3 linked regions of the Coturnix japonica genome follow. The protein of the gene in region 2 purifies or fractionates together with the protein of the main gene of each other region. This does not show direct contact. Links are inferred from orthologs where the notes say so. Each region holds a gene or a part of one and is shown on either strand. Other genes may lie near its edges.

Region 1 (3,649 bases), on a different chromosome or scaffold from region 2:
AGTACTCATCCTGAAATTTAACGTAGTTCACCCCATATCTTGTTATACAACCCAGTCATTCGTTGTTATACAACCCAACCCATTTAATTTAGTAGGTTCCAACGATTCATTTAACCAACAAATCAAACAGCTTTAAGAAAAAGTTTCAAACAAGTTGAAACTTGTCTGGTTTTTTTACTCTTTTCTTACTTACCAGTTTATCATTTTCATTGGGCATTTCAAACACGCATCTCAATTTGGAGTCCATCAACTCATCAGGTTTTGCTTCTTTCCACTAAAACAAGTAACACAGTTATTTAATAAGCCAGTCGCACACAAATCTGAACAGTTCATAAGCCTGCAATTACGGCTTCCCTATAACTCTTACAAAACTGAATACTATCCTTGCCCAGCTGACATTTTCAGACTTGCTTTTGAACACTTTTTGTCCACCTTTGACTACTATAAAAGTATTAAAAGCCAGACATGGCTCAACTTAAGCCTGAAAACGGAATCAAGTCAAGTGAATGTCAAGGCAGATCCAGATATCTGTAGGACACAATCAGACATAGAGCACCATCTGAGTTGGTCTATCAATGCTCATTGCATGTGTTCCTCACATTCTATCCTGGAAGCACCCACTTTAAATAAATTACTGAAAGACACTTTTAGGGATTCTATACTTAGCTCCACAGTAAGTTTCTTTAGTTCTCTTTCATCGTTGGCATTAACTGCACACTAACTCATATCTATTATTACTGATTTTCTGCCAGATTTGTTCCTTGATATTCTTTACTTCAACACACTGAGAAAGCCACTATTCGAAAGGTATTTCTAAAATGGATTTTTATATTCTCACCAAATGCTTGATGCTTCACTTCTCACACATAAACAGGAGCTATCAGAGCATATTAAAATAAGTAAACCAGACAACAAAGAGGAGAGACATTATTTTTGTAGCTGCATGCCTCAAAAGCTTAACAAAAACTTTTCCAGTGTTTTCAGTTCAGAGAAATACCACAATAATCTTTGCCTTCATACATATGGGAAGTGAACCTAAGCCTGCAGAGGCTTAGTGGATTTTAATGATTCATAAACCTTATCTTCACTTTGTTTACCTTCTCCTCCTCTGCCTTCAGTGAGCATGGAACTGCATGAATCACCATGTGAACTCAGGGAAGTGTTTAGAAACAGGGGCCTGTGCATCATTCCCCTGGACTCTGATATATACAAGCTCATGGGAGCCCATGTATACTCTAATGAGCAAGTTCTGCAACTGAAGGACAGCATTCCAATTGCTTCTAAGTTGTCCTTCTGAATTAAGAGGCGCAAAACTAAATATGCTCTTTCTGGATCTTTCATCAGACCAGTCCCACCCAAAAACAGAATACACAACTCATTCTACTAATAAAGAAAATAAATCTATCATTTGAGCTGCATGTAGCCACTTGGTGTCTTTGAGAGAGGCAGAATAATCCTTCAAATGTTTTGGTTCCTTACAATACCATTCAACTTTTCAGATAAACGCTTCTTAGTCCAAATGTACCCATTCCACACAACTTCAGGCTTGCCGCTTGCATATACCCTTGATTCCTTTAAATACAACCTATTTATTCCCTCCCAATGAGCTGCAGACCAGATACTATACAACAGTAACTAAACACTGAACAGACCTTACCTCTGATTTACTAGTACTTTGATTTAAACAGTTCAATAGGCAAATTCTGAGAACTGAGCTTGTATTTAGTATTAAAAACCCTGAATCACTTATGGAAATGGTATTTGTTCAGAGGAAATTCAATTTTCTAAAACCTAAACATTTCAAAATGTGATTCACTTAAAGTTAAGGCTGATTTTAAAGAAACAATCCAAACTAGTCATACTATCCAATTTTTACTTACCACTGCCTCCATATCTGAAATATTTGGTGGTGCATAGATTGTTTGTACCATAAACTTGTGTTTACTCTTCTCGTTTGGGTCATAGTCAAAAGGCTGCAGCATTACTGTTCAAAAGAGTAAAATAAAACATTTAAGAACATGATCAAATCACTCTTAAAAAAAAAAAGAAAAAAGCTATACATCAGATTCTCATTGACCAGACACCAAAAGTAAAGATGTGAAGGGAACATTGAAAACACTGTAGATACACACTGTAGCAATAAGTAATGAGAGGAAACACCTTAACAGTGTAGCTTTAAAGATTCTTTCTCCACCTACTATACAAGAAGACATTTAGGATACAAGTAAAAACAAATACATCCTGTAAGACAAAGAGCAAATAAACACCGTAGGATTTTCCCTTGGAATAAACACTTTGTGACCGAGTGAATGCAAAGGTAAAAGAACTCTGGAATGAGTTCAACAACTTCATGGCATCTACCCAAGGGAGAAAGGGAAGAGAACTTACATTAGGCTAGCCACCAACCAGTAGAAGCTCAACTGACTTCTACAGGCATACTGATCTAAGCTAGGAGCAACTACTAAAATACTTAATTAAAACCAGAAGTATTAAAAGAAGTAATGCTGTCAAGGCCTTTAACAGTTCACTGTAGAGAAGTTTCAAATTCAGTTCTTAAAAGATAAAGTGATTAGTTGAGAATAACTAGAAAACACATTTTATACAGGTTTTGACATTATTATCCTTATGTCCAGCCTAACAGCTAACATTTGCCTAAAAGTACTCATAATCCATGTATGCATTTGAATTCTACATATTACCAGCGGAGAAAGAGGGAATTCAAAACCAAGCTCTCTGTAAAGGCAGCTGCAAGTGAAAGATTAAATACTTAAAATACAGAGTTCGTACTACAATTACCAGAGATAGAATATACAAGGGTTATTTTTGTGACAGGACAATTTCTGAATAACTGCTTTCTGAAGTTGAAAATTCTGTTGGTCAAGAAGGGAAATTCACATTTCAAAGTTGTTATTTTGAAGTATGCACAATTTCAGTGGAAAAATAAATAATATCAACGTAATATTATTCATAATCTCAATTATTACTACACTACTACGGTATTTTTAAAGGAATGCTTCAATTACAGGAGTGCAGAATCTTCATCCATCCAAACTGTACAAAGCCATTAGGAGGCTGCTTTCCTGTTAGTGAAGGTGGTTTTGTTTAGAAAACAGCCCAGAGGGGAAGCCAGGTCACCCTGGTGTCATTATTTTTGTGGTTTCTTTAGTTCAAAGTGACTGAAAATCATGTCTCTAAATTAGACCAGAACATTATAGGATGTAGTTGCCTATCTATAGGAGTAATGGGCACAGTATAAGGAATATCTGAGCATACCAGGTTTGTCATAGTAACACTGTAGGACTACTGAAGTATAAGGATGAATAGATGACCAGCACAGTCTGCCTCCACTGAGCAGACCATGAAAGACAATTAGTCTCAATCCAGACAGGGGTCTAGACAATAAGAACTTTAAGAACTTCCAGCTTTCTACCAGAGGATGATGACCCAGAGCGATCTGTAAAGATAGATTATTTGACAATGCACTTAAACTTGAGTCTCACTGAAATTAAACTCAAGTTTAGCGCATCTTCATGTAAAACTAAGATAAATGCAAGTAATTCAGATAAAATGAATTATGTACTTATGGAGTCCTATGAACGGGAATCTGTACTGCTAGTTGTTTTACAGCAATGAAAAAGAACCTAGAGCA
Region 2 (4,381 bases):
CAATGCTTCAAAATGAATTATTTCTCAAGGTCTGGGGAGAACTTACTTGGACAAAACGTTTAAGTAAGCTGCCTGCTTTCCCTCAGAAGGCTTGTGCAGGAGGGCTCATTAAAGAGCAGTTTTCTGCATCATGATATTCTAATGATGGAGGTCATTAACTCGCTGCCAGCCACAAGGGGATTAGCAACACCTCTCCTCAGTAGGGCTGCAACTACATCGAGAGTGTCTTTGACTAAAGTTGAAACACTTTTCCAATAGCTTTGATACTATCCTTACTATCTTCCCTTTAGTTAGTGATAATTCCAAGCTAGAAAGAAACAACACCCTAGCTAATTATTCAGACTACCACCCAATGAAGATGTCACCTAGCTCCAAATCTCCTTCAACTGTACATATTGAGACATGAGAACAATATTTTTTCATATGCTGTTAAGCATCTGATCAAGACACGAGATTGTTCAATGTTGCTACACATTAAACAGCACAAGACAATTGTTTAATAACACTTCCTCCAAAAGGTAGCGAGAGCTATTCTAGAAATCAGCAGGCAAACAACTACGTTCAGTTCTAGGTAAAGTTATAAGTATTCTATGAGTCATCAGCTCACCTTATTGCTCCCTAACTCTTCAGTATACAAGATTAACATAGCCTACAGTTCATGAAAGTAGCCTAACCCCGTATCCTCTGTTTAAATACGGGTTTCAGGTAAGCCTATAGAATTTAAAACAAATTGTTTCTCTGATTTAGCTACCATTGTACTACTGTAAAGACAGAATCCAGCAACGCAGAACATGCCCTAAATGTCTTCCAAAGCCATTGGACTGGCAGTGAGTAAACCAAGCATAGTTTAATAAAGTAACAGCTCCAACAAGTTAATGAGTAACCACAGCAGGTAATACAGGAACAAAACAAAGTGAAAACAAATACCCTGCAGAGTTGAAAAAGAGATACCTATTAGTCTTGTACTTAGGCTAGTTTTACAATGATGACATGGAATCACAGAATGACTCTGGTTGGAAAAGACCTTAAAAGATCAAGTCATACCATGACCTAACCATACTACCCTAACAGCCCTCCACTAAATCATGTCCCTGAGCACGACACCTGAGCAGTTTTTAAACACATCCAGGGATGGTGACTCAACCACCTCCTTGTGGAGACTATTCCAATGCTTAACAGCCCTTTATGTAAAGAAGTGTTTCCTAGTATCCAATCTAAACTTCCCCTGGCACAACTTGAGGCCATTTCCCCTCATTCCATCACCAGTGAGAAGAGACCAACCCCACTCTCACTGTAAGTACTTTTCAGGTATTGGAGGAGAGCAATAAGGTCTCTCCTCAGCCTCCTCTTCCCCAGACTGAAGCCCCAGCTCCTTCAGTCGCTCATCGCAGTCACCTTATCATCATCACCTTACATCATAGTAAGGAAAAAGCAGCTTAATATGGAAGTTTATATGAGAACAAACCCACTGTAACATGAGGGAAAGCAACTACAAAGTGTTACTAAGGTCAATAGATAAGAAACATCCAGAGATAAAAGAAAGCACAAAACCTACAAGGAAAGGCAAAAACCTCCATCCGTAATATTATCTGTACTTCACATCTGTACAGGCACAGGAGTTTATATCAGTCAGAGGATGATTCCCATGGGTAAAGTTCAGGAACTCAACACGAGGAAAACAAACAGACCCATACACCTGTTACATTTCCTTCTTATAACTACCCTGAATTTATTATGTGATTTGTAAAGATACAGTCTACTTCTGACTGGAGTAATAAGTTGTTACAAAGCAAATGAACAAGAAAAAGCATTACAGAACAGTTGAGTCACACTGCCTAAAACACTGGGAATACAGAGTACTTGTCATAGTTGTAAAACATGACCAGCACTGGAAGAAATACCTAATAACTCCTTACTCCCTAACCTTCAGTGAGCACACAGGTTGTCTGGATGGCTCCAAGCTCTAATCAGTGCTTATCTTTAAATACCATTCAGATAAAGCAAAGATGGCAGAGGAAAATGAATGGGGATAAGCAGGGAATAGAAACCTACAAGGTCTTTGCCATTCAACTTCTCAGCTTTGCAAGCACATTCAGAATCCCCAACTGACTGTACCGAGCATCTAAACTTTGTTGGTTATCTTCCAGAGTTTCTTACTATCTCCATCAATCCCTTAGCTAGTAAACTAAACTTGTGTCAGATTTCAGCTGTGGTTAGCTAAGCTATGCTTAGGCCAGACTATGAAAATGGACGTTCTCTTCACATCTGCTTCATAGAATCATTTAGGTTGGAAAAGACCTTTAAGATGAACTAGTCCAACCGTGCCCACTAAGCCGTGTCCCTCAGTGCCACATCCACACGGTTTCTGAACATCTCCAGGGACAGAGACTGTATCACCTCCCTGGGCAGCCGTGCCACTGCCTCGCCACATCTTTTAAGAAGAAATATTCCTAATACCCAACCTGAAGTCGTGCTGGATCCCTGCAGAATATCCAACAGATATTGCAGCCTAGTTCATGAGAATCTCGGCTCTTAATATCAGTGCACGCTGCCCTTCATCTGACTAAGAGCAGCCTCTCACTCGGCGCACCGAAGGACACAAGCCAGAACTCCTCAAGGCACAGGCAGCAGCAGCCTCACACCCCAAGCTCACCCCGCAGCATCTCCAGCCCTGCCGCTGCCTGGAGGTCACCCGAGCCCCCCTCACCTGGAGGAGCACAGCCAGCAGGACGCACAGATACACCTGGTACGGCCCCATCTGCCCCACCAGCGGGAACGCCTCTTCCACCTCCATCCCGCCGCGTCGCGCATCCCCGGCCCGGGGCGGGCAGCGGAGCGGGCCCTCACCCCGTAGGAATGGGAAGGAGGAGGCGAGGGAAGCGGAAAGGAAGCGGCGACACAACGCTGTTAGGAGGGATGGCGCATGCGTTCATGGAGGGGGGGTGGGCGGGAAGGGAGGCTCGGCTACTCCACAGGGTGCCATTGGATGACAGGGAGGATTGGGGAGGGAACGAGTGAGGAGCAATGCGGGATAGGTTCAAAGAAGGGCAGCAAGGCTTGTGAAGGGCTTGGAGGAATCTGCCCTATGAGGAGTGACTGGGGCTGTTCAGTCTGGGGAAGAGGAGGCTGAGGAGAAACCTGGGATACCTCAGAACAAGAGAAATGGACATATCAATGTGGACCTTTTGGAGCACATCCAGAGGAAGGGCACAAAAATGATCCAAGGGATGGAACACCTCTCCTGTGAGGACAGATTGAGAGGCTGTTCAGCCTGGAGAAGGCTCTGGGGAGATCTGAGATAAGCCTTTCAGTATTTAAAACAGGCTACAAGAAAGAAGGGGACAGACTCTTTTCTCAGAATCTGTTGTGATAGGACAGGGGAAATGGTTTCAAATTAAAAGAGGAGAGACTTAAGCTGGTTATAGAGAAGTGTTTTACAATAAGGGTAACAAAGCACTGGAACAGGTTGTCCAGAGAGGTGGTGAATGCCCCAACCCTGGCAACATTCAAGGTTAGGCTGAATGGGGCTGTGAGCAACCTGATCTGTCTGTAGGTGTCCCTGTTCGTTGCAGGGAAGTTGGGCTAGTTGACTGTTAAAGGACTCTTCCAACTCAAATGACTCTATGATGCTGTATAGTTGGAATAATATAAGTATAGTTGAAATTACAGAGTAAACAGATAGCAAGAGGGTATCTAAGGAAAGACTCACCAGTGCTGAGGCCTTCAGTTGCAATGGATGCTCAACAATGTTGAGGCTCATCACAAAAACTCCAGAGAGGAGCAATCTCCAGAAAGAGATGACACCTTAGTGATGGTCAGCCCTTAAATGGAGAGGAGAGGTGGAGTCAAGCTCCATCCCTTCTGGGAGCAAAGCTGAATTACCTTCACCTGTGCTCCTGCAGCTGACCCATCACTTGCCTCAGATGGTTAATCAGAGGTTCAGGCTGTGACCAACAGTTTCCCTTACAGATGCCTTAACTATGCAATGTTCTGTAATTATACTCCATAGCACACTTGCTGAGTGTTGGAAAAAGTAAAAAGAACACAAAGAGATTTGGCAGGAGAATATTATGTGTGTTCCACTAGAGTTTGGTTCTGACCCTACCAAATTCATGCAGAGTGGCCATGAACTTTTCACGGTCCATTTTCATTGTACTTTCATAATAAAACTCCAGAACATGAACAAACTGTGATGTTGAGACTATTTTTTCCTAGTGGGACCAAGCATCAGCAGCAGTGCCACTCGTGCCTGTCATGTTTTTGTTGTATGAACAACAGCTGGAAAAAAAAGGAAGAGAGCTGCATTGTGAGATGTGACCTTTAGGCCTATGCCATGAGTCTGGGAAATAATATCATTTCCTTACTATAAAAATCTTGGCAA
Region 3 (3,649 bases), on a different chromosome or scaffold from region 2:
TGACAGCACACATACACTTCCTGACAGTTACATAAACTCAGCTGTTAAAATTACACACCATTATATAACAGGTGAAAACATGGGCTACAAACCTGACTTTGCAGCAAGCAGTGCATGCTAACTGAGACTTAAATGCTGGTATTTAGGAGCAGCTGTGATAGGGCAAAAGAAGCCAGTATCCAACACTGCAGTAGAATAAAGAAAGCTTTGCTTTTCTAGCATTTTATGTGTGCGAAACGAGCCAAGACCTGGCATGAAATAATGTTCTGAGAGCAGCCTCTAAGGACAGAACACCTTCTCGTGAACTTCAACCAAAATAGGACACGCCTGTGGAACTGCATGTAAGAAAGGCACTCAGCTGCTATGGTGCAAGGAAGACAAGGCTGCCCTGAACCCAACTGTCAGTAATACTCCAAGAAACAAATTCACATCATTGTACTTTGGCACCGACCATTCTTTGCAGGCTGGAGGTGCTCTGTCAGTGCTACTGTGTTAAAGTCAGTCAGCAGTTCTCAAGAGAACAGACTACAAGGAGTAAACACTGCCCAATTAGCTCAAGAGTTTCAATAGAAATTCAACCACAAAACGAGCTGACAGCAGCTTCTATTCAGAATGGGTTAGAAAATGAAGAATTAACATCCGTAACTCCAGAATTCTGCAACATATCTACCCATAAATCTACCTTAATGTGTCACCTGAAGGACAATGTATGCGAACTGCTTGCATTTAATACATAATGTTAATAGAAGGGCTGGTAATTTAGCAAAGTTTATTACCATGACTAAGTAAAGAGAATCATGTAAGTAAGTAAAACAAAAAATGTAAGCTCTGTGATTAAATATTCCAAAATCATTTGCAAAACTGAATCATAAGCCACAAATTCTACAATAAAAGTTACGTATAAAAGGCAAGTTTTTTCAAAGCTTTGTGAGCAAGAGCAGCATAACAGGGTAAGCACAGCAATCTTTCACAACAGGATACTGCAGGTCACGTCTTGGTCTGGTTTCTGTTTGGGATGCTGCTGGGAAGAATGGGGCTGGAAAAGCACCTCAGATACAGGTTCACACAGCACTTGCCTATCCCATGTTCTGCTCAAGGCAGAGCAAAGGGTCGCTGTAAGCAGAAGTTTAAGAAAAAAAGATGTTGAGATCAAGAAGACGTTCTAAAAAGCGTGTTACTTGCTAGCAAACATTTCTCTTTGTCCTGTCACTATCCACACTTGTAGCTTGGTAGGAGACTAATTAACAGGTTATGTGTTTTGCCATACATAACTTCTGTTCTGATCATCTTCCCATTGGCCAGTAACCCATCTGCTTCTATTACACAGCATTAAAATTTAATTAAAGTAGTAAAAACAAATCTTCAGAAATCATTCCTGTACCTCAAAAACCAGACCTGATTTCTGCAGCCTGCCACCGTGAAATGCTTTGAGAGAGTTCTTTAGATTACACAAATACTCACTCCTTTATGCTTTCAGTGTAACCCGCTCCTTTGTTTTTTCCATTACCAAACTTTGGCAAGTGAAGAACTACTGACTCATTAGAGAAAATCATTAACCTTTCATATGAAATAGCACAGTTTTAGTCACTTGATGTTTCTAGCACCAAAGCATATTACATCTCCAAGGAACACAAAACAAGCATGGTTTCAAAATAAATGTTTTCTTAACTGGTTGGTTATATTGGGTAGTCTGGCAACCAACTATCAGCCTGAATCAGCGTGGCTGCAGTCCACCCATGTGGACTGTGCCTGTCCAAGCACTCGTTAGTTAGATCCTGCAGTGAGCTGGTTCAGGAAGTTAAGCTGGCAAAAAGCAACCGGACCAAAATAATCCCACTGGGAGGGCAGGGCTGCGGCAGCACTGCCTTGGATAGGCTGGCTAAGGCTGCTACGGAACCATATAAATTATTTATATATTCCTCCTCCCTCCCTCAAAACAAGATGTCAAAACAAACCCATTACTGCTAGAGCAGGACTAAGAGAAGCGAAGATATATTTATATATATATGAAATGGCTGCTCCTCCATGAAATCGTAACCTCCTGCTTTTACAAGCATTCCACACAGTACTTCTGTATTGCAAAACATTCCAAGAAATAATTCATTTGATGACGCCATCCTCAGTCACTAAAGAACTGATTGTATGACTTACCAGAAACATTAATTGATGTTCCTGCATCAATAATTCCACTGTTAGGCCTTACACAGTATCTACGTGGTGCCGTGGTCTTAACTTTGAAGCACACATTTCTGTCTGTAGGGTTGCCGAGTTTCAGGTTTGTAGTGACAACATCTGTGAATGGACCTGAGGAAGAGCAAAAGCAGGCTTTAGATTGCATCAGAAAACACTCGACAAGTAGAGGCTAAGCAGGTTACAAATCTCTGCTCACAAATCTTATAAAGTAATTAGATGTTCAACTTCCATCTATGGCACGTACAGATAACAACACACGCAAAGCGCAGGATGTAGGGAGGCCACTGAGCATGACTGTATGCTCACAGCACAACAGCTCATCATTAATAGCAAACAAAAAGGGGGGAATCATTTATACACACTACCAACACAACAACGTGCTATTCAAATGAAGCCAAATTCTCTGTTGTATCAGTTATTCCATTCTAACTGCTGAACCACCCAGGCTTGCAGAGAAGCCATATACACCAATGTACAGACTGAGCAGGGGAGGATATCAAAACCTACAAATGTCAGTAAGCTTTACCTTACGCTCATAAACTGCACCTCCATGAAGCCTTCCACCCGCTATTTAGAAAGGCTGTGCCAAAACCAGCAAGATGAGCGTCCACTGTGCATCACATGTGCTTGTTTTTAAAGAATCCTTCTGGCTACAACAAATGATACATCAGAAGAGATCTTCATAAAAAAAACCCAGCCTCACTGAGACAGGAAACAACCACACGCAAAGAGGGGAATTCTTGGATGCTGACAGCACTGGCAGTGATTTCTGTATTAGCAAAGCCAGAATCAGACCACTGTCAAGTTTGGAAACAACAAGCAGTAACTTCTCATAGGCTTCAATACCTACTTGAAATCATCAGAATCCCCTGGGTGGGGGGAAAGGCTCATTACTGACTTTCTATAAGACACGGATAAATGAGGCAGGTGTTGTGTGACTGCACTCAGATCACGGAGAAATAAGATTACAGCACTGTAAACCCCCTTTGATCAGCTGTCTTCTGCACAAGAGAAGTTACCTGCTAACTGAATGAAATACCTTCACCTATCCTCAGAAATAGAAGTAAACTTGAAAAAGAAAACGAAACAACAAAAACCCCATCAATTCTTTTCCTTGAAGACAGGACAGCCCTAATGTTTAAAAACTGTGAATGATCATTTTTATAATTAATAGTAATAATAAATACACGCATGGTCACCCCCCTGCTCTCTTGAGAAAACAAGACAGGTTCTCAGTTGCAGCAGGGATGGATTAAAATCACCTGAGGCAGCTTTCTTTTCTACAAGTTTATCATATCAATTCATCTCTTAAGGTGCCACTGAGCACAAACAACAAAGCACTGCAGTCCTGCAGCCTCCACCTAAAAACACAAATCAACCAAACCAAACCAAACCAAACCAAACCACCACCAGCACTGTGGCACCTTTCTGCCTGCTCTCTGAGCAAGCCAGCTCT

What was found.
Region 1: the proteins of SLC22A15 (region 2) and VAPA purify together in Homo sapiens (co-immunoprecipitation; 3 studies listed by BioGRID and IntAct, with this or other methods). This does not show direct contact. The link is inferred for Coturnix japonica from reciprocal best matches to the Homo sapiens genes SLC22A15 and VAPA.
Region 3: the proteins of SLC22A15 (region 2) and VAPB purify together in Homo sapiens (co-immunoprecipitation; 3 studies listed by BioGRID and IntAct, with this or other methods). This does not show direct contact. The link is inferred for Coturnix japonica from reciprocal best matches to the Homo sapiens genes SLC22A15 and VAPB.

Annotation. Positions count from the first base shown.
Region 1 is NC_029517.1:88,627,502-88,631,150, forward strand, and holds part of VAPA (vesicle-associated membrane protein-associated protein A), read right to left. Parts: intron 1,985-3,649; coding exon 1,881-1,984; intron 275-1,880; coding exon 194-274; intron 1-193. UniProt on the Homo sapiens protein: Endoplasmic reticulum (ER)-anchored protein that mediates the formation of contact sites between the ER and endosomes via interaction with FFAT motif-containing proteins such as STARD3 or WDR44.
Region 2 is NC_029516.1:71,983,497-71,987,877, forward strand, and holds the start of SLC22A15 (solute carrier family 22 member 15), read right to left. Parts: upstream 2,920-4,381; 5' UTR 2,795-2,919; coding exon 2,708-2,794; intron 1-2,707. UniProt on the Homo sapiens protein: Organic zwitterion/cation transporter with apparent specificity for amino acids and their derivatives. Has low affinity for its substrates and may regulate their flux across the plasma membrane at high substrate concentrations.
Region 3 is NC_029535.1:10,109,587-10,113,235, forward strand, and holds part of VAPB (vesicle-associated membrane protein-associated protein B/C), read right to left. Parts: intron 2,305-3,649; coding exon 2,152-2,304; intron 1-2,151. UniProt on the Homo sapiens protein: Endoplasmic reticulum (ER)-anchored protein that mediates the formation of contact sites between the ER and endosomes via interaction with FFAT motif-containing proteins such as STARD3 or WDR44.